Arabidopsis thaliana: one gene and its partners. The protein of the gene in region 2 interacts with the protein of the main gene of each other region in a pairwise test. Each region holds a gene or a part of one and is shown on either strand. Other genes may lie near its edges. The genes, in order: AT5G35460, AT5G42370 and FAO3.

Region 1 (6,339 bases), 3.3 Mb from region 2:
AAATGTTTTGAAAGAGATGCTAGAGTTGAGGTACCTTTCCCTACCTCTGGATATGCATGATAAAACCAAGTTGGAATTGGGTGATCTAGTGAACCTGGAGTACTTGTGGTGTTTCTCAACGCAACACAGTAGTGTGACAGACCTCCTCCGTATGACCAAGCTCAGGTTTTTCGGTGTATCTTTTAGTGAAAGGTGTACTTTTGAAAATCTATCTTCATCTCTCCGTCAATTTCGAAAGCTGGAGACACTTAGTTTCATTTATTCGCGCAAAACCTATATGGTTGATTATGTGGGAGAATTCGTTCTGGATTTTATTCATCTAAAGAAGTTAAGTTTGGGAGTACATTTGTCAAAGATTCCTGATCAACATCAATTACCTCCCCACATTGCACACATATATTTATTGTTTTGCCACATGGAGGAGGATCCAATGCCAATTCTAGAAAAGTTGCTTCATCTGAAGTCGGTTGAATTAAGACGCAAGGCTTTCATAGGGAGGAGAATGGTGTGCTCAAAAGGCGGGTTTCCTCAATTACGTGCTCTACAAATATCTGAACAATCGGAGTTGGAAGAGTGGATAGTAGAAGAAGGGTCGATGCCATGTCTTCGTGATTTAATTATACATAGTTGCGAAAAGTTGGAGGAACTTCCTGACGGACTCAAGTATGTAACATCCTTAAAGGAACTGAAGATTGAAGGAATGAAGAGGGAGTGGAAGGAGAAATTGGTTGGAGAAGATTACTACAAAGTCCAACACATTCCCGATGTTCAATTTTTCAACTGTGACGACGAACAAAGAGAATAACCAGTAGCAGGTAAAAAATAAACGGTATAATAATGTTCACTTTTCAAAGTCATGTGGACAGTCTCAACTTTTATACATTGTTCTAAAATCGATCATCTTTTAAATAGATGCAGGAAAGAACAAGAAGCTAGTCAAATTCTCTTATATTGGGAGAGATAGAGGCTGCTTCACAAGAGTCATCTACTGATAAATCTCTGGAATACAGATTCTGAAGTACTACTGATTACGTTGGAGCTCTCGCTTTCAGTGCATCGTTATGTTGTGGCTCAGAACTATATGCTTTTTATTGATGTTTGTTTTCGGTGTGGATGCATGGAACGTGCTTGAGAACTCTTTCATAAAATTGAGAAACGAACCTTGTTTTTTTTGTAGTTCATTGTAAAAATTGGATATTTATGTTTATACGAATTTGTTTTGTTTTCTCGTTTGTGATTTAACACAGTTAGCTAGCTTTTGTAAGCTTTATTTACATCAAATCTGGTTAGATTTGTTTTTTATCACATTTAGGCTTAAGTTTTGTTAGTTTTGCACCTCTTTTACTGTGTACGCATAGTGAAGTCATGGTTGAACCAAGACGAGCAAAACTGATGTACAATAAACAAAACAATCTCATTTTGTACAAGTTTTTTGTTTCATTTTAATTTCTTTTATCAGTACTGTGTGATATTTGCACTCGTGACTTAGACTTGGGTCGTTGAGGGATTAGTCGATTTCTTGTTCAGGAACAACATAAGATTGTCAGAACAAAACACCAGTTTTTGTACTTTTGTTTTTAAATCTTGTTTCAACTTCAGACAGACCCCCTTATTCTATGGCTTTAGTATATTTGTTTACTTTTGAACAATGTTCAAAAAAGTGTTAGGCGATAAACGGGCGATGACCCAACGCCTAGCGTTTAGAACGCTTAGTCGGGGTTTAAGTGATTTTAGGTGGTTTATCCGTTTATGACATAAAACATTTTAAATATGATATTATAGATAAAAATCATATAAAACTATATATTAGAAAATATTAATCGGATCCTAATCAAAAATTAGATAAAAATGTTTCTTTAATTTATATCAACAATATATGAATGTTTATAACCATGTGTAGAAGTAAAACTTATAAAATTTAAGCAATATTAGTTAAAAATAAAAAAAATATACTAAAACGAAATTTATGTTATTTTAGGCAGTCGAGATGATTATTTAGGCGTCAACTGAACGCTTAGCGGCATATAAACGACCGTCTAGACCGCTTTTTACAACACTGCTTTTGAATCTTTCAAACTTCATCCAAAAACAAAACTAAAGCTTCTGGAACATGTGAAACCTTGTCAAGAAACTCTAGTTTTGAACTCATAAAACCTAGTTAAGAAGTTTTTTTTTTTTGTCGGCACCTAGTAAAGAAGTTATACCACAGCATTCTTTTTTTACTTTTTTTCTTTAATACAAGATGCAATTAAACAAAATGTTCCTCTAACTATAATAATGTAGAAAAATACGTGTACGCTAGGAAATTTCTCGACCCGCGCAAAAGAGGGTCCTAGAAGTTTCAACTTTCGACACGTGGCTCCTTCTCAGTCTCTCTTATTAAAGTCTTTAAATTATATAATCACCAAAGGCAATTAATGGAATTAATTTACTTTGAGGACTAATATTCCATCTGATTTCCCAAGATAAAACATAAAGTCCTTATTACTTAATTATGAATGTAATTATTGGATTACATGTAATTAATCACCACTTTATAAAACTGAACAAAAATAGTAACGAATATAAAGAGTTTAATAATGATTTTTGGGTCATTTTCCTTCACCAAATTTTTAATTCCGCATAAAGTAAAATATCCTGAAAACAGAAAAATTCAGTGTTTTCGGATTCTCCTTTAAAAACGACAAAAGCATCTACAGAGAAATCTGACCGCAATAATGGCGAATAACGAAGATTCAAACTCCAATGGACTAGACTCGTTTGATGCTGTTAAACAACGTTTCAAAGATCGATCAAAGGTACAACATCAGATTCGATTTTCACCATTTTTGATGTTTCTCTTTTGTTCCAATTTTGTTGATTTTGACTTTGTGGACCAATTGTTTTTGATTTTGACAGAAAGTTGTTCAGACGAGAGAGTTGTTGTCTAAACAAGCGGTACAAACGCGTGAGATCTTATCGAAACAAGCCGTTAAGATCGCTAAACAAGCCGAAGAACATGAGAGATTCATCAATAAGGTTAGGTTTCTCTCTTGATTCTTCAATCATGTTTTGATTTTAAGTTACTTTGGTTTGAAAATGTTTGGTTCTGTAATGTTTTAAAGGTGACACATCTCGTTGGTGTGCTTGGATTTGGAGGTTTTTGTTTCCTACTTGGTGCAAGTGAGTTCAAAGAAATTGTGTTTTTTTTTTGTTTTTTTTGTGTTTTGTTCTTAATTCAATGTTGTTGATGTTGATGATGTTTTCGTTTTCAGGACCTCAAGACATTCCTTTAGTTTACTGTTTCTTCTATGTGATCTTTGTTCCTCTTCGATGGATATATTACCGGTTTAAGAAATGGCATTATTATCTTCTGGTAATGTCTCTTTTGAGGATTTGGAATTAAGAAACAGTCGTTTTGATTGTTATTGAAACAATTTTTGTGTATGTGATAGGACTTTTGCTACTATGCCAATACAATCTTCTTGGTTGATCTTCTTCTGTATCCTAAGAATGAAAAGCTTTTCATGGTTTGCTTTTCCTTTGCTGAGGTATGCTTTTTAACTACATGTATGTATATGAGTCTTTTGTGTCATTGTGTGTGCTGATTTATTTTATTGGTTGTGTCTTGTGCTGCAGGGACCATTGGCGTGGGCGATTATTGTCTGGCGTTGCAGTCTGGTTTTTAGTTCGCCGGATAAGATTGTTAGTGTTCTTATACATCTCTTACCTGGTGAGTTCTATAATCTTCTTGTTGACAGAAGAAGATATGTTATTGATTCATATTGCTAAAGTTGACGGCTTTGATTAAAGTAGTTGTATGAATTCTTAGCTTGTTGTTCCCCTCTCAACCGTTTTTAATTCAAACACATGGTTCCTTGTTGTAATGCATATGATAGATATAGTTAAGCTTTATGCTCTCTCTCTCCATTGTTTCTTTATTATTGTAATGAATTTTGGTTTCAGGGCTCGTGTTTTTCACGATTAGGTGGTGGAATCCAGCGACTTTTGCAGCTATGCACCCTGTAGGCACTGATCGTAGGGTTTCATGGCCTTATGTTGAAGACAAAGCTTACCTATTCACATGGCTGTTTCTCGTCCCCTTAGTCGTTTATACTCTTTGGCAAGTGCTCTATTTTCTAATCGTCAATGTCCTGCGTAGGCAGAGACTCCTTAGAGATCCTGAAGTTATGACTTCTTACAGGTATCTCTTGTCTACGCCGTATGTTAATGTTCTCCTCATATTGATCGCTAAGGTCACAGCATAATGTAATGTGTTCTTACCATAGAGTGAACACTTGTATTGATGGAATCCTTTGGTATGTGCAGAGAGCTGTCGAAGAAAGCTGAAAAGGCAAACAATAAGTTGTGGCAGCTGAGCGGTCTGCTAGGGGATCAGAATCGTATATGGATGTACATCCTATTCCAGGCCATCTTCACGGTGGCAACCATGGCATTGACCGTACCGATCTTCCTATCTTATAGACTTCATGTGATCTTTCAGATCCTAAAGATTTCTGCGGCTGTGTGGAACGGAGGGAGCTTTTTACTAGAGGTAATGCCACGGCAAGTGATCCAGAAAGAGAAGAAGAAGAAAGCTGAGATGCAGCCGATAGAGGAGCAGATACTACATCATGAAGCTGTGTCACATCCGACTGAGAATGAGCCAAAATCTACTGAAACATGATCATGGTTCTAACAAAAAGGTACATGTAAAATAAAGTTTTCAAAGGTGAATCATGATTGGTGTTTTTTTTGTTCCTCATGTTTTGTTCTATAACTGTTTGTTTCTCTTGTTGCTATACATCATTCTAAAAGCTTAATGTATGTGAATGATCTTGTAGTTTATTTTTTCTAAAGAAACTTGTTATTTACTCTTTAGCCAAAGTTTTGATCCTGTTTCGCTAGGACATTCTGGCCTTAAAATTGCATTATGAGAGATTTAACTATATTTTTAACGCGTTTTCGAGAAAGGAAAATCTTCGGATTTCAGCGAAGTAGATTGGGATAAGTTCTCCTTGAGACGCGGATTTTGTTTTCTGTTTCTGCTGTACAAAACAACCATCACTAAAGATCATAACATTCATGTGTTTGATAGTGCATAGTTCTCGAACATGTCGTTACCAGCCGCGGAATAAGCTTAATAAGTATGCCGATAGCATTATGAAATCCATCATGTCCGATACGACTATTGTTCAGTGGAGATGAAGCTTAATAACTTGAGTTCCGCCAAAGAATTCACTCAAAAATCGACCATGAAGAGGATTTTGATCGATGCAAATCGCCCCTGTAACGAGCTGATTTGGAAGAAGACTCAAGAACCACCAATTTGCACCGTACGGTCAAATTGAGTCAAACCAAACCGAAGAGCCCCCTGATGTACTTGAAGACTTTCTGCTGATTATATTCACCCTCATGAAAAGACTACACGACGTTTAGAAGCTGCGACTTTAACTTAGCTCTCGACGCCATCACCGAAGATCCTCCATTATAGCCTAACGGCTAGAATCATCACGCTCCTCTCTTTATTTCGCATTATTCGGTTTCCTTTTCTAAGTTTTAGACCATTGTTGTACTTTTCAATTTAAGCTCTTTGATTCTCTACTTTGTATTCACGCTTTGATCAATTGAAATTCAGTTTGTTTCTTGCTTCAATACTTTGTATCTTGAATCAAATCTGTTCTTGCGAGTTCTAGGTTGTTTGTAGAATCAAATACTTCTCATCTAAAAGCTTCCATCGCTCGCTTCTAAGCATTGGACCCGTGAGCCTTGTCTTGGTGGAATCCAGGACGTGTAGTCGTGTATCACATGAAATGAATGGAATAAGATTTTGATTATATAATCTACAAAGTAGGTCGCATTAAGATACATGCCAAATACCGCACTGAACAGAGAAAGAAAACAGAAAATCAATGTAAATATTGTTGGTGTGTCCTTGACTACAATGTTTTTTGAAAAATTATCTTGATCATGTGTTTTGTCAGGTCCGAGTTGTCCATGATATCAATATTCATGATGGTAATCGATCAACCTTTGAGAGTATAGTAACAACACTTGGCATATTTCTCACTTACGCTAGTCTCATTTTTTGTTCATTCAATGAAAAAACTTAATTTTATGAATAAAATTTCTCGAAATGCGCTTAAGACCTTGACAGTACGACAATCTATATTTACTAAACTGAGAAAAAATTGCCAACGCTGTTAAGGAGGTTGAGGTTGGACATGGGTGGTGGCCGGAACCAGCAAAACTGATCCACTAGCACGGCGAATACAAGACCTTTTTTTTGTGACACTATCAATGGGTTCGAGTTGACTATTCGGTTTCCGTCTCTGAGCCGATTCTAGCGACTTGCTTGAT
Region 2 (6,339 bases):
TCATATGTAATAAACGATAAACCTTGGTTTACAATAATAAAAGAAAAAAGAAACTGGAAACTATAATGCTATTGCATGTAGTCTAGAATTTAACTTGTGTTCACAAACATTCTCTTTCAAAGAAGTTTAATTAATAACAGCTCAAGCTTAGAATTCCCATCACAAGATCAAAATCCATGTGTTCAACAATTTTTAACATTATAAGCTACATCCGAATTGTAATCCCTGAATAATCCAACTAATACAGATTATAAGTCATAAAGACACTTTTGTTGGACCAAAAAAAGTTGATTAATGTCATCAACAATCAATCGACCTTGCATTTATAAACGCATGCTGTTATGGCCAATACAGCTCCAATGATAAGTCCTAATATCGCCATTGCCAAGACTGTCGAACCCAATCAAACAACGTATATATCAGTACTCCGCAACATTCTTTCATCATGACCAACCACAGTGAGGAAGAATGACATACCAGCAATGGTGAAGTAGATGAGAACTGCCAATCGGTATCTGGTCGTTCCTGGTAATTCAATTTCGAGTGTGCAATATCGTTGAGACTTTCCCTTAGTTGTTGTATCTTTTAAAGAATTCGAGCCTCCTGGTTGGAGTTCAGATAATGAAACATTCGTGCCTAGTACAGTGTCTCCGTTAACATCTCTGATCTCGAGCTTTATGGTAACCGGATTTGCATTCCAATCTATCGATATTGCTCCAAAATTTTGTTGTCCTGCACGTAAGTTTAAGATATTGTAACCAATGTAATCATACAAAAGAGTACATCGCTGCTCTGTTAAATCAACTCACAACAGTTACAGTCTACTATATTCCGTCCTAGGTTAGTGACAGTAGAGCTATAGAGCTAAAGTTGGAACTTAAAGTAGACTCACTGTGTCTTGGCTTGTCAATAAATCTTTCCACAGTTTATCAGAAGAAAACGTAAAAGGAATCAAATTGAGAATAATACCGTATGTGCAAGATTTGAATTTGCAGTTATCATTGATAACTCTCATCGTGCTTGGAGTATACCAAAAAAGAAGCCTAACTATGGAACGCAAGGGACGAGGGACAACTTTCTCAACAGATTGTACTAGACCACTGGAGGTGACATCATATAATGGGTACCCAACAGAACAATCATATCTCGTGATTTCTCCAAAATGTACATCTCCACTGATGAATATAACTCCATCTCTCTGTAATGTCAAAGCAACGAAGAATTATGGGGACGAGGAAAGAAGAAAACTGACAGTTGGAAACATTACTGTCAACAATCCCATACCTTAGTATCTGCTATCAGTTTAAAAAGACGTTTCCTTTCCTTTGGAAAACGACCCCATGATTCCATATAAAAGAGAGGTCCAGTGGTAGCAGAAAGATTTGATATCACCTGGACAAGTTAAGAGACAACAGTTCTAGATGGAATAAGACACTCAGGCTTCATCAAGTTTAAGTCCATGGCCAAACTGGAACAGGACACAAAAGTCTAATTTGCAGATACCTGAACAGAGGATCCTATGATAGTGATTTCGCTTCGGGGACCGCTCAATTCATTTTCGAGCCAGTCCCACTGCGTATCACCCAATATGCTCCCGTCACTTCTTAAAGGGTCTCTATGATATCTAGTATCTAAAACTATAACCTGAAGGAGATACACAACTGTGTTAAATCACATATAAGCTCTTCATTCTAAACTTAACAAAACTACCAAAGAAGACAAGAGTTTCTGTTAATACCTTAACTTTCCGATTAGGCGGACCATAAGTATAAGAAGCATAAACACCAGCTTGCTTTCTCCTAGGACTATCAAGAGGCTCATTCAAGAAATCAAGCATAAGTTTTTGGTTAATGACTTTACGATCAAACTCTTTTCCAGCGTCATTCAATCCGTAATCATGATCATCCCATGTACCAATAACCTTAGCTTTTCTCTGAATACGAGAATATCCAGGATTAGCTTTGGCTTTAGCGTATCTTAGTTTCATTTCTTCCTCTGAAGAAGGTACAAACCTCGGTGAATTCCTCCATGGCCCAAAAGTTCTCTCTTTCCCAATGACTGTAAGTGGTCTTCTTATATCTCCGTAGATGTTATCACCCAACCAAATAAACAGTTGCGGATCAAACTTGTTTATCGCATCCCATATCGGCTAAAATGTAACAAAAATACAATGTTTAACATAGTATGCAACACAAGCTTATATCATCTAAGAGAACATCGGCTAATTAAACAAAAACCATAATCAGCTCACTTAAACACCAGCCAAACAGAGCAGTCTTAAAACACTGAATCCAGAGCCAAGTAGGGGTTGTACGATTGATTTACCTGTGGAGCACTTTGATTAGCGCATGATCCGAAGGCTATACGAGTGATAGGAGTCTCTTCTGCAGCAATCACCACCGTAAGGAGTAAAGAAAGGCACCAGAAAGAGATTTGGTTCATGACGATGTGGTGAATCGAAGAGAAAACCCTAGAAGCAACCGTGGAAAGAGGAATCTTCAAGTTTTCATTAAAAGATCCACAAGTTTTGGCTCGCCGCAGATTCGGTTCCGGCGATTTTCAGTTACCGTTGGGATTTTGATAGACAGAGACTGTAACTTTTTCTACTTTCTTCTCGTGGCTTTGATTTTTAATAGCTTTACTTTTTCTTTTCTTCAGATGAAATTTCTATTGCCTGGTTTTATGAATCTTTTTTCTGGGTTCCAAACAAAAAGTGAATTTGTGAAATATCCGTATTATTTATAATTATGGAATGACCATTGAATTTTTTTGTAGATTTGTTTAACATATGCAATGATTTTTTAAATATGAATATTAATTACTTGAGAAACAAATATCTACTACATATTAAAAATGAATTTGTATTTTCCCCTTTGAATAGAAATCAAATTCACTATATGTGGCAAATAGATTAATTCATTTTGATTTGTATTACATAATTTAAATTGTTTATCTACTACTATGTGATGATAAATCCATTTAATATGTGTTCTTCTATGAAAACTTTATCCGACCAAAAAAATAATTTTATGAAAATTTTATTCCAATTTTCTAGATTGTATAAAATTTCCCCGGAACCATGCAAATTCAGAATTTTTTACACTAGAGACTTCTACGGATGGCAAAATTGTGAAGTGTAATATTGTTTTAGACATTAAGAAACAAGTTTCGAAGCGGATCGTTTTAGTTAAAAGGTTTACAAACAATATTATCTCTTATTGAATAGAAAAAGTGAATTGGTGCAATAATTATGTATCTGTTTGTAACTGTAATTATAGAAACATCCAATAATGTGAATCAATATCATTGTTCTAGCATAATAAAACTGTAGATTTACAAACGTCAAACGATATGAAATGTTTTACCGACCTCTACCAAAAAATGAGTGATGTGAGAATATACGCGCGTTATCGGTTGTTTCTCACTCACCTAGTGACATTGGTCGAGCGGCAAATGGTGGTGATGACTGGCCTCTTTTACGACTCGCAGTTTTAGATTTTAGTCCCCTTAATTGGGTATTCTCAGTTATGGGGAGACATATAAACACATTTTGTATGTTTTGACAAATTCAGAATATCAAAACAAGACACGTTTATTATGAAGTGTGTTAAATAATACAAATAGATTAGATGAGACACAAATATACAAAGGAATAAGAATCTCTCACAAAAATAATAATTGAATGAATAAAATTTTGAGGAGGGAAGGAAGATGTCCCAATCCCATATATATCATCTCAACGCATCATCAAAACAAACTCGTCAAAGCTGAGAACTCCATCGTCATTCTGATCAAACCCACGAATCATAACCTTACAAGCATCAACCGTACACGACTCGCCGAGTCGACTCAACGTCCTCCGTAAACTCGCCGCCGTAATAAACTCTTCCCCCTCCATAACATACATCCCAAACGCTTCTTTCAACTCCTTCCTCCTTTCTTCATCACTACCATCTTCCCCTTCCATAAGCTTCAAAAACTCCTCAAAATCTATAAACCCGTCTCCGTCAACGTCTGATGTCTTCACCACTTCCTCCACCTCACGTGACGATAACGCGCCGCCTAAGAGACTAACGCAGCTTTGTAGCTCTTCACCGGAGATTTTCCCGTCTGAGTTTGCATCCATATAGTCAAAAACGGTTCTTAGCTCGTTAACGTTTAACGAGCTGCTTCCGCTACTATTACTGCTCGTTCTTGATTCGTCTTCAAGGTTTCTTGACGATTCTGATCTCTTCGAGGAAACTTTCTTGTATAGTCGTGACAATGATGATTTTTGGTTCTTAGCGAGAGTCATTTCTTGATTTGAATATGAATCTAGAAGATTTGGGAAATGGATTTCTGATGCAAATTCTTTTCAAGAAGTGGTAGATTATATATAGATGAGTATGTGAATGCGTGTAATGGTGGAGAGATTCTTGATTGTTCGACGGTTAAAACACGGGTTTGAATATTTTGGTGTTATTATTTAAAGCTAGAGGCGGTTGCGCGGCGGTGGCCGGGAAGTTTCCTCCGCAATGAGTGTTTGTGGGGAAAGGTCAAGTTGACCACGACTAGGGGTGTTTTCGTAATAATGTGATGGTAAGTTTTTCTCACGTATTGTGTGAAATGTGATGTCATATCGACGACTAGATTAAGAAAAGTAGCAAACCTTCTCTTTGACTTTGATTGAGTATACGATGTGCGGACACGTGGTTTTGGTCTTTTAAATTGTTAAACTGTCATGAAGTTTCATATAACCGTCCAGATATGCTCCACGAAAGTGGTATGACTTCCTCTGTTCCTAGAAACTTGAATTAAAAATAAAATATTTCATGTGATGAAGTTTCATCTAACTGTTACATTCCCGGTCCTGAATTCCCTTTCCATAAGAAAATATATTTCTATATGGACCAAAAGAGAGTTTTATTTTTATCTTTTTGCATCTCAAATGCCAACTTCATGTAAAAGCTTTTACTGATGTATAGTTCGGCTTTCTAAGCTCGACGGTTTAACTCGGCCCAGCATATATTGTTCAAACAATTCAGTTATTCTTTGAAACTTCTCCCCGTAATTATCGAGCTCAAAGATTATTTAACAAAAACATCTCTGTTTCCCCCCATAAAATCTCCTTATAAATACTTAATTTGATCCTAATATCAACAAAATGTTAGACTTTAATCTATATCTTCAATTCTTGATGAAATGAATTTCCATGATGCGGTGCTGGCATATCGTGACCTTACTTAATTCACATTAATTAAACTTTCTGAGCAAATAGTTTAAATTGTTGGTATCAAATCTCACAAATAAACTTACTATGAAAAACTCATGATCGCCAAAGTGAAAATAGTATAGAAAGCCTAGTTTAGAGTGACAAACACTTGAAATCCTAAACAATCGATCTTGTAACCACTATTGCACATCACCACAAAACACACATTATCTGACGAAAGCTAATCACATTCAAATGATTAAACCAAAATAACAGAATCTAAACATTAATTAACTTAATATTCGAGATACAACGAGACCTATACGAGTTTGAATGAAAGACAATTTTCTTGTCTACTATATGTACAAGAAAAAATAGAGATCATACAAATAGCTTTTCTTCTAACTATCGAAATCAATATTCTTATAATTAGGCATGAATCCTTTAAAAATTTAGGGGTCATGTAACACTTAACATAAGCAAATATATGAATGCATAAAATTATTAACTTTTCGATCATTTTTTTAAAAAATTATAATTTTCGCAACGTATTTAAACCAAATTTCACAAAATTACATCAATTTTTTTTTTAGATTGCTATCTAAGCCCTTAACCGAAATACCTAAACCTAATTGAACCGATCAGTTCAAAGTTGCCAGCAGATAAACAATGTTTTCATGTCCGACTCATACTCCATAGTCGAACGATTAACCCAAGAAACATATTTCCAGTGAAGGTTTAGTCTTAAATCTACCAATATAACCAGAAAAATCCAGAAAAAACTTGCCATTAACTACCGCATGATCAACCGGTTAAAACTTCTGGGTGAAAATCTTTCCAAAATATTGAGATTTTGACTTCAAACCCTTTGCTACAAATAGAAGGTTTGATTTTGGAATTAAAATATATAGTTTGTATTAAAAAAGAAAGAAACATTAATATACTCATATAAAAAGAGTTTAACAAAATAAAAATCAGGAAGGAGAAGACAATAAACGTAGCTAACCTCATCTCCCTCTTCTTTTTTTTTTGTTCTTTAATAGTTTCCGTCTCTCTTTTTCTCCTCCACCTCTCCTTTGTCCTCAATAGCCGACGATGGCTTCATCGTCCTCTTCCATTTTCACCGGTGTTAAGTTCTCTCCGATCTT
Region 3 (6,339 bases), on a different chromosome or scaffold from region 2:
ACCCCCTGCTGAAACCGTTACTTTAGCTTCAATCTTTAACATCTTTGCTATGTTTCCGTTTAAAGATTTAGCCATCACTCCCAAACATTTCATTTGCTTGCCTCCTTTGTTACTACCGTTCTTTTCGAGTATGAATCTCTCCGCTTTACATCCAGTAAGAATCACGGCACCGTGCCCCACCGCATCGACAAGCCAAGTCCGGTCACTTCCTTTCTTGTCTCCTTGTCTACATCCATACCCGCAAGATCCACAGTAATGACTCTCCGAGGAGTTTCTTGGCACGTTTTCAACATTGAACCCGAGATTTTCGCAACCTTTTCTCAGAATCTGATTCTGAAAACTCTCCAGTTCACATTTCTCCGTGACACCCATCCTCTTCCACACAACTTCCATAGCCGTTAGATATTCTTTAGTACCGAAAAGAGGTATATTTTGATCCTCTGACCATTCTTGAAGAACCGACTTCGGGGTTTTGATACACGCAGACCAGTTCACAGCAGATCCACCACCTACAGTTGCTCCAGCCAACACCATAAAACTCCCATCAACACTCGGGAGAATCCCTCCATTCTCGTAGAGTTTATCCAAGCCAGGACCTTCGAAAGGACGATGTTCAGAAGGCGTAAAGTAGCTTCCTTTTTCAAGAACAACCACTTTTAAACCAGATTTCGCTAGAACAGAAGCTGCTACGCCTCCTCCTGAACCAGACCCGACGACCACAACATCACATTTTATTCTGATCGCATCATGCTCCGTGTCAAGAACCGCTTCTAGGCCTTTATGAGCAAGTGATTCAAGAAGAGTCTGCTCTGTTTCTTCCATCGTCTCCACTATCCCTTTCTCAAGTGGTCTTTCGTTATGAGTTTCAGAAGGTTTGTTCTCATCGGGGTTAACACGATACCCTATGGCTTCCCATGCCGGGTTTTCGCCATTTGGATTCACCTACACAAAAGAAACGACATATCCATAAATTCTTGAACATTTTCTATAAGTAGCTCTGTTTTTACGACAGAGTTAACATATATAATATAGGCTCTGAATCCGGATTTTGGTTTAGTTCACGATTCTCAAAATTTTGGATCGGTTTATTGTAACCAAATCAGAAAATGATCTAGTTAAATCGCTTGGTACTCATTTAAGATCAAAGTTTTTAATAATGGGATCAAATTGTTTATGTATAGTAAAATAGTAAATTTTAGTTATAAACAAATCTCATATGAATACGTTACGTACGGTTTCAGGTTTAAGATTTTCTAATTTTAGTATATATGAATTTGGATGATTTTTTCCTTAGAGATCATCATTAATTTAGAAAACAATAAAACTGATACGTTTTCTAGTTTTTTTTGGCTCTATTTGTAATCAATTTTTGGATTATATAGAAAGTAAATGAATTTAAACCATGCGATTCTGTTTTCGATTATTTGGATTTGTACTAGACTGTTTTATCCGGACAGAACAACATAATCTATGTGGTTGAGATAAGGTTTGGAGAAAACAGAGAGAATTTGAGACATACCCGGGAGAAGAAACAGAAGAGGAATGCAACTTTGATGTAGACAAAAGCAGCTCTAATTGGAGTCAGAATCCAATTCTTGAATTGTTTCTGAAGTACTCTTTCTCTCTTCTCCAACGAGAGCTCACTAAATTTCTCGACAAAAGGCCATCTTGAGACCAAACACTCGGTTCCACAAATGAGAAGCGTCCCAAGCCGAGTAGCAAGCAAGAACAATATAAGCCTAGTAGCAATATAAGCTTCTATTGTCCCTCGTTTCGTGACCAGCTCAATGCTCTGCATCCATTAACAAATCTTTCACTTTTTACTCAAAACCTTAAGGTCTTTTTAATAACCGCAATTAATTTTAGACCGAAACCTAGACTAATAATATTCACGTTAAAAAAACAAAAAGAGCTAGATATTTTTGTCATTTAAAAGGTCTATAGAAGTCAAAAGAGAACCACAAGGATTTTATTGGAACTCGATCAATACGAATCCTTTTAACTAATCGAACAAATCAAAACAAATCTTCAAATATCACACGTTCTTGATTTGTGTTTTTTTGTTTGAAAGTGTCAAAACTTTAGCATTTTGTTAAAAAAACAGATCATTTGATGAATATAAAGAAAAAGTGTGTGAACCTGGCGAAGGACAGGAGTTTTAGACCCAGAAGTTGAGTAAAATGACCGGAGAGCCTCTTTGTTCCGATGGTTATCACCTTCACCGGAAAGCTCTTCCGGCGGTGGCTGCACTGAAGGCAAGACAGCTTCACAAAAGCTAGCTAAAGATTCCATCTCTGCCACCGTGATGTCCGGGAGACCAAATTTTCCGGCGACTTTGTACTTATCCATCACACAGTTTGCTTTGATATGATTAAAAAACAAAACTGGGAAAGTTCTTAAGATTTCGAAGCACAAACTCTGTTAGTATATATATAGACACAACGTTACAGCTGTCGCGTTACATAAAAATAGACATATAAAACAAAATTGCTAAGAGAACCCCAAAACTTGTTTTTAACTCTTTTTGATGATTACGTATTTTTATCTGTCGTTTTAGATAGTAGATGTATGTATTTTTCTAGTTTATACGACAGTTTGTCGTATTACTAATTATGATGATAATTGACAATTTAAATGTATATGAAAAAGTTGGACCAAAATTGATTTTTCTTTTTTGTTGTTGTAAATGGTGCATATCTACCCACGTTGTTGTTTCTTTCAAATTCTACTTATATGCCGAATTTTATTGGTATCATCTGATGTAGATTGAATATATTTCTTACGTACAATTTAAGATGATGGTTATTTTTTAGGGTCCTCATGTTTAGAGTCTCTAAGATAGTGGTTAAAAACACTTAAAATTGCAAAATATAGGGACTAGTATGTAGTTAGCAGAGACTATTATGGGGAAAGTCTTTTTCAGTTTTCTAGATTACAACATGTGAAAACTACAGGCAACGAAAATCGATTAGTAATTAATAATTAAGTAATGATTGAAGAAACATAACAAAGGCACAAAAGAAGAAAATAGTCAGAAAAGTTCTCATAGTTATGGAAAACAATCACGTGTGATACTCTTTCTTTTTTTTTTTTTTTTTTTGTTTGACAACTGCGATGCTCTAAACACCACAATTTGAAACTTGTGATAGCCAACTTGTGAGTTAATGCACAAGCCCCGTAACGTTTTACACAATCTAGCTTTTCTTATTCGATATACGTGTACTTGATATCTTCTCACAAAAATTTGTAAATATTATATGAAGAAATTAATACACATTAATATGTATATACAACATCTGATCGGTTATCACGTATATATCAAAACATATTATATCTTTGGAGAGGTCATGCTTGGACCATTAGACAAAGTCTTATTTGGTTTACGAGTTTTTTAGTTTGTTAATTATAATGTAAAGTATATGAAGTTGTAAAATTTACTCTAAAACAAATCTAGGGACTCGTCAATTAGGTGAAATTCATGGGATCGTCAATTAATATTTACTCAAATTAGTCATAAATGTTGCTTAGCTGCAACGAAATTGATTACAAACTTTTTTGCAGTGATTTTTTAGGTGCTTCACTGGTTAGCAACCATGTGCTAGTGATCATCCATAAAAATTATCTCATTTACTCATCCAGTATTTCATGAATTCTCAAAAATACTAATTATTGATTGTTGACCAAAAAAAACCCATATATTGATTACAAACCAAACGATCCCAGGCCGTTTTGAATTTGCTAGAAAAATAAATACATATATACACTATATGCTTAAAATTTCAATGGACAATGCGTTGCCTCATTTAAGATTCGAAGAAACTAGCATTATCAAGGAAAATGTTGAGTGACTTCCAGATAATTTGTTAAATTTAGTTGACATCGATTAGACAAAGAATCGATAAATTACGTATTGATTCAAATTTCATATTATAGACATCCACAAAAAAATAATATAATTAGTCTGGCCCTACTTTTGATTTTGCAACAAATTTGTGGGAATCAGTGGAGCCAATCAGTTGCCTCCACGTCATCGTTTGCACGCCATGTTAGCCAAAATGTGGTCATGCATCCCATCTAACAAGTCAGGTGTAATCGAAGCATCCGAGATCTCGTCAGACAAAAAAAACTCTAAAACGATAACTAGTTTTTAGTGTAATCTAAGTTAAAGTATGATTATTTACTAATATATATTCTGATCCCAAAGGTTTGGTTAGAAAATTTCCTCAGCATGGGTTATCGGTACATATATAATTGCTTGGTGATAATGATATGTTTCAGCTTAACCAAATAAAAAATGCAAAATAATAAATAAATTTTACCGTGGTGGATGAGCTAATTAGAGTGTACGAGGTACATATATAGTGCGTTGTTTTGCAAAAATAATAATATTAAAAAGTTCACAAAATATTTTTTAGTCATAAGTTACTTTTTCACACTTATTTATAACTTAGAAATAAAAAATCACTTCTCTGAACACTTATTTATAACTTCTCTGAACACATGTTATGTTCAAATGTTAAGACTATTTTCCGTTAGGTGATATCGTAATTTTATGACTACAATATTTCAAGTTATATGGACCATAGCATTCCATTTCTATGATTGAGGTACACTTTGTGATTATTATTTATCGACCAAATATTTTCAATGGCTCCAAAGCTTAATTATATATTAGTTGTAGACAAAAACAAATCTCTAAAACACTGTCAAAATGACGTGTTTGCGTAAAATCCATAAAACATTTTCAAGCTAGCCGAGGCATCAGCAACAAAATCTTCTTAAAACCTTCATGGCTTGTAAAATATTCAATCGGGTACAGTGGGTTGTTTAGTTGAATTATTATGTGTCACTGTGTAAGTATAGCTTCTAAAAATAAAATGTCATTATAGCTTATTGTTTAAAAGTCAAAAAAAATGTTGTTGGACGCAATTAAAGATGTCACAAGTTGTCATTAATTAATTAAGCGATAATGTAAAGTAAAATAGCGATAACAGGTTATATACGGCATTTTCAAGATAACCCCACTTTGTAGACCTTTTCCGTTCATGTTACTTTCTGCCCAGTTAAAATCTTGTGTTAAAAAGTCATAATACCATATTTCCTTTAGTTAAGTAAACTATACGCGGATACTAAAAACTACCGATATTTTATGCGTAAGTTATCTTTATTATCATGTTTTTGTTATATAAACAATTTTGCTACAAAAAGTTCATTTCGCCTTTATTAGATTCACGAGAGACGGCATTTCTTTCGTTTTTTTTATGCTTTTGATGGAGAATTTCAATGATGGCTATAATTATATATCGTTGAAGATTTCTTATACACTTGTCTCCATAAATCTGCAAATCTGATAATAAATTGTAGTATCTGAGACTCGAACCAAAGACCTCTTTATGTATAATCATTAATGAATTTTTGGTTAACCAATAAAGTGATAAACTAGGGGTTTTCAATATCTTTATTATCATATTTATTATTAAATTACTATATAACTTCATGTAATCGTGGGACACTGCAACAAATACTAAATAATTAGAAAAATTAACAACCAACATCTAGTTAGAATATTTAATTTGCACCAATGTCTTCGAGTATAGTGAAAAAAATAGAAGATCGAATATCGAATAGTACGTATAGAATCATCTAGATCCATTCGAACTAACGTCTACTTTTCTTTTCCAGCATTAACATGTAGCTTGTCATTAGCATTTACATGTTGCAAATAACACAAATTGGGAAATTGAAAGACTAAAAAACCTTGTACAGCAGATGGTTTAACACGTGGATTCATGGACACAAACAGAAAACGGCAGAACTAAGCACAAAAACGTCAACTAAGCATATCAAAGCTTTTAATGCAAGCCTAATATAAACACAAGTGGTTATCCATAATCTGTTCTTAATCTCTTGCAGTAGTTATCTTTTCATTATTCGCAATTCGCAATTCTATATTCTTATATTTCAACTTGTTCTTCTTCCAAATTGTAATTATATCTACATCGTCTTAGCTTGACCATTATAGCTCCAGTACCAAGTTCTCTTCTTAACTTTAATATCAGCTACTATTCTCATACTGTAAATATCTTTTGTTCACCAAACATATATTTCGAACCAAACTGCTAAAAGCTTATCATAAATTGCAGTTCTAGCCACACAATTTTGCAGTTCCAACCATTAAATGCCACAAAATTTGGACGATTTCTTAAGACAAGAAGAACATAGCAACCAAACCTTATTGATTAAATATGAAATGTCTCCATAAAACTGGGAGATTTCCCCAAATAAAGAGAACACGGCAAATGTTCACGTAATCTCCAAGATGAATGTTTAATTTTTTCT

What was found.
Region 1: the proteins of AT5G42370 (region 2) and AT5G35460 interact in a protein complementation assay, tested with the Arabidopsis thaliana proteins (one large-scale study listed by BioGRID).
Region 3: the proteins of AT5G42370 (region 2) and FAO3 interact in a protein complementation assay, tested with the Arabidopsis thaliana proteins (one large-scale study listed by BioGRID).

Annotation. Positions count from the first base shown.
Region 1 is NC_003076.8:13,669,881-13,676,219, forward strand, and holds AT5G35460 (uncharacterized protein), read left to right. Parts: upstream 1-2,608; 5' UTR 2,609-2,717; coding exon 2,718-2,798; intron 2,799-2,898; coding exon 2,899-3,018; intron 3,019-3,104; coding exon 3,105-3,162; intron 3,163-3,254; coding exon 3,255-3,355; intron 3,356-3,434; coding exon 3,435-3,530; intron 3,531-3,618; coding exon 3,619-3,712; intron 3,713-3,945; coding exon 3,946-4,183; intron 4,184-4,308; coding exon 4,309-4,666; 3' UTR 4,667-5,623; downstream 5,624-6,339. Other genes in the region: AT5G35450 (Disease resistance protein (CC-NBS-LRR class) family), read left to right, coding at 1-805. UniProt on the Arabidopsis thaliana protein: Glycerophosphocholine acyltransferase (GPCAT) that utilizes acyl-CoA to acylate glycero-3-phosphocholine (GPC), forming lysophosphatidylcholine (LPC).
Region 2 is NC_003076.8:16,939,022-16,945,360, forward strand, and holds the start of AT5G42370 (Calcineurin-like metallo-phosphoesterase superfamily protein), read right to left. Parts: upstream 2,714-6,339; 5' UTR 2,443-2,713; coding exon 2,326-2,442; intron 2,150-2,325; coding exon 1,739-2,149; intron 1,645-1,738; coding exon 1,504-1,644; intron 1,393-1,503; coding exon 1,285-1,392; intron 1,199-1,284; coding exon 893-1,198; intron 733-892; coding exon of another isoform or gene 674-732; coding exon 478-673; intron 391-477; coding exon 308-390; 3' UTR 1-307. Other genes in the region: CML37 (calmodulin like 37), read right to left, coding at 3,737-4,294; SPP (Insulinase (Peptidase family M16) family protein), read left to right, coding at 6,287-6,339.
Region 3 is NC_003074.8:8,378,870-8,385,208, reverse strand, and holds the start of FAO3 (fatty alcohol oxidase 3), read right to left. Parts: upstream 2,538-6,339; 5' UTR 2,350-2,537; coding exon 2,140-2,349; intron 1,879-2,139; exon of another isoform or gene 1,799-1,878; coding exon of another isoform or gene 1,793-1,798; coding exon 1,520-1,792; intron 943-1,519; coding exon 1-942. UniProt on the Arabidopsis thaliana protein: Long-chain fatty alcohol oxidase involved in the omega-oxidation pathway of lipid degradation.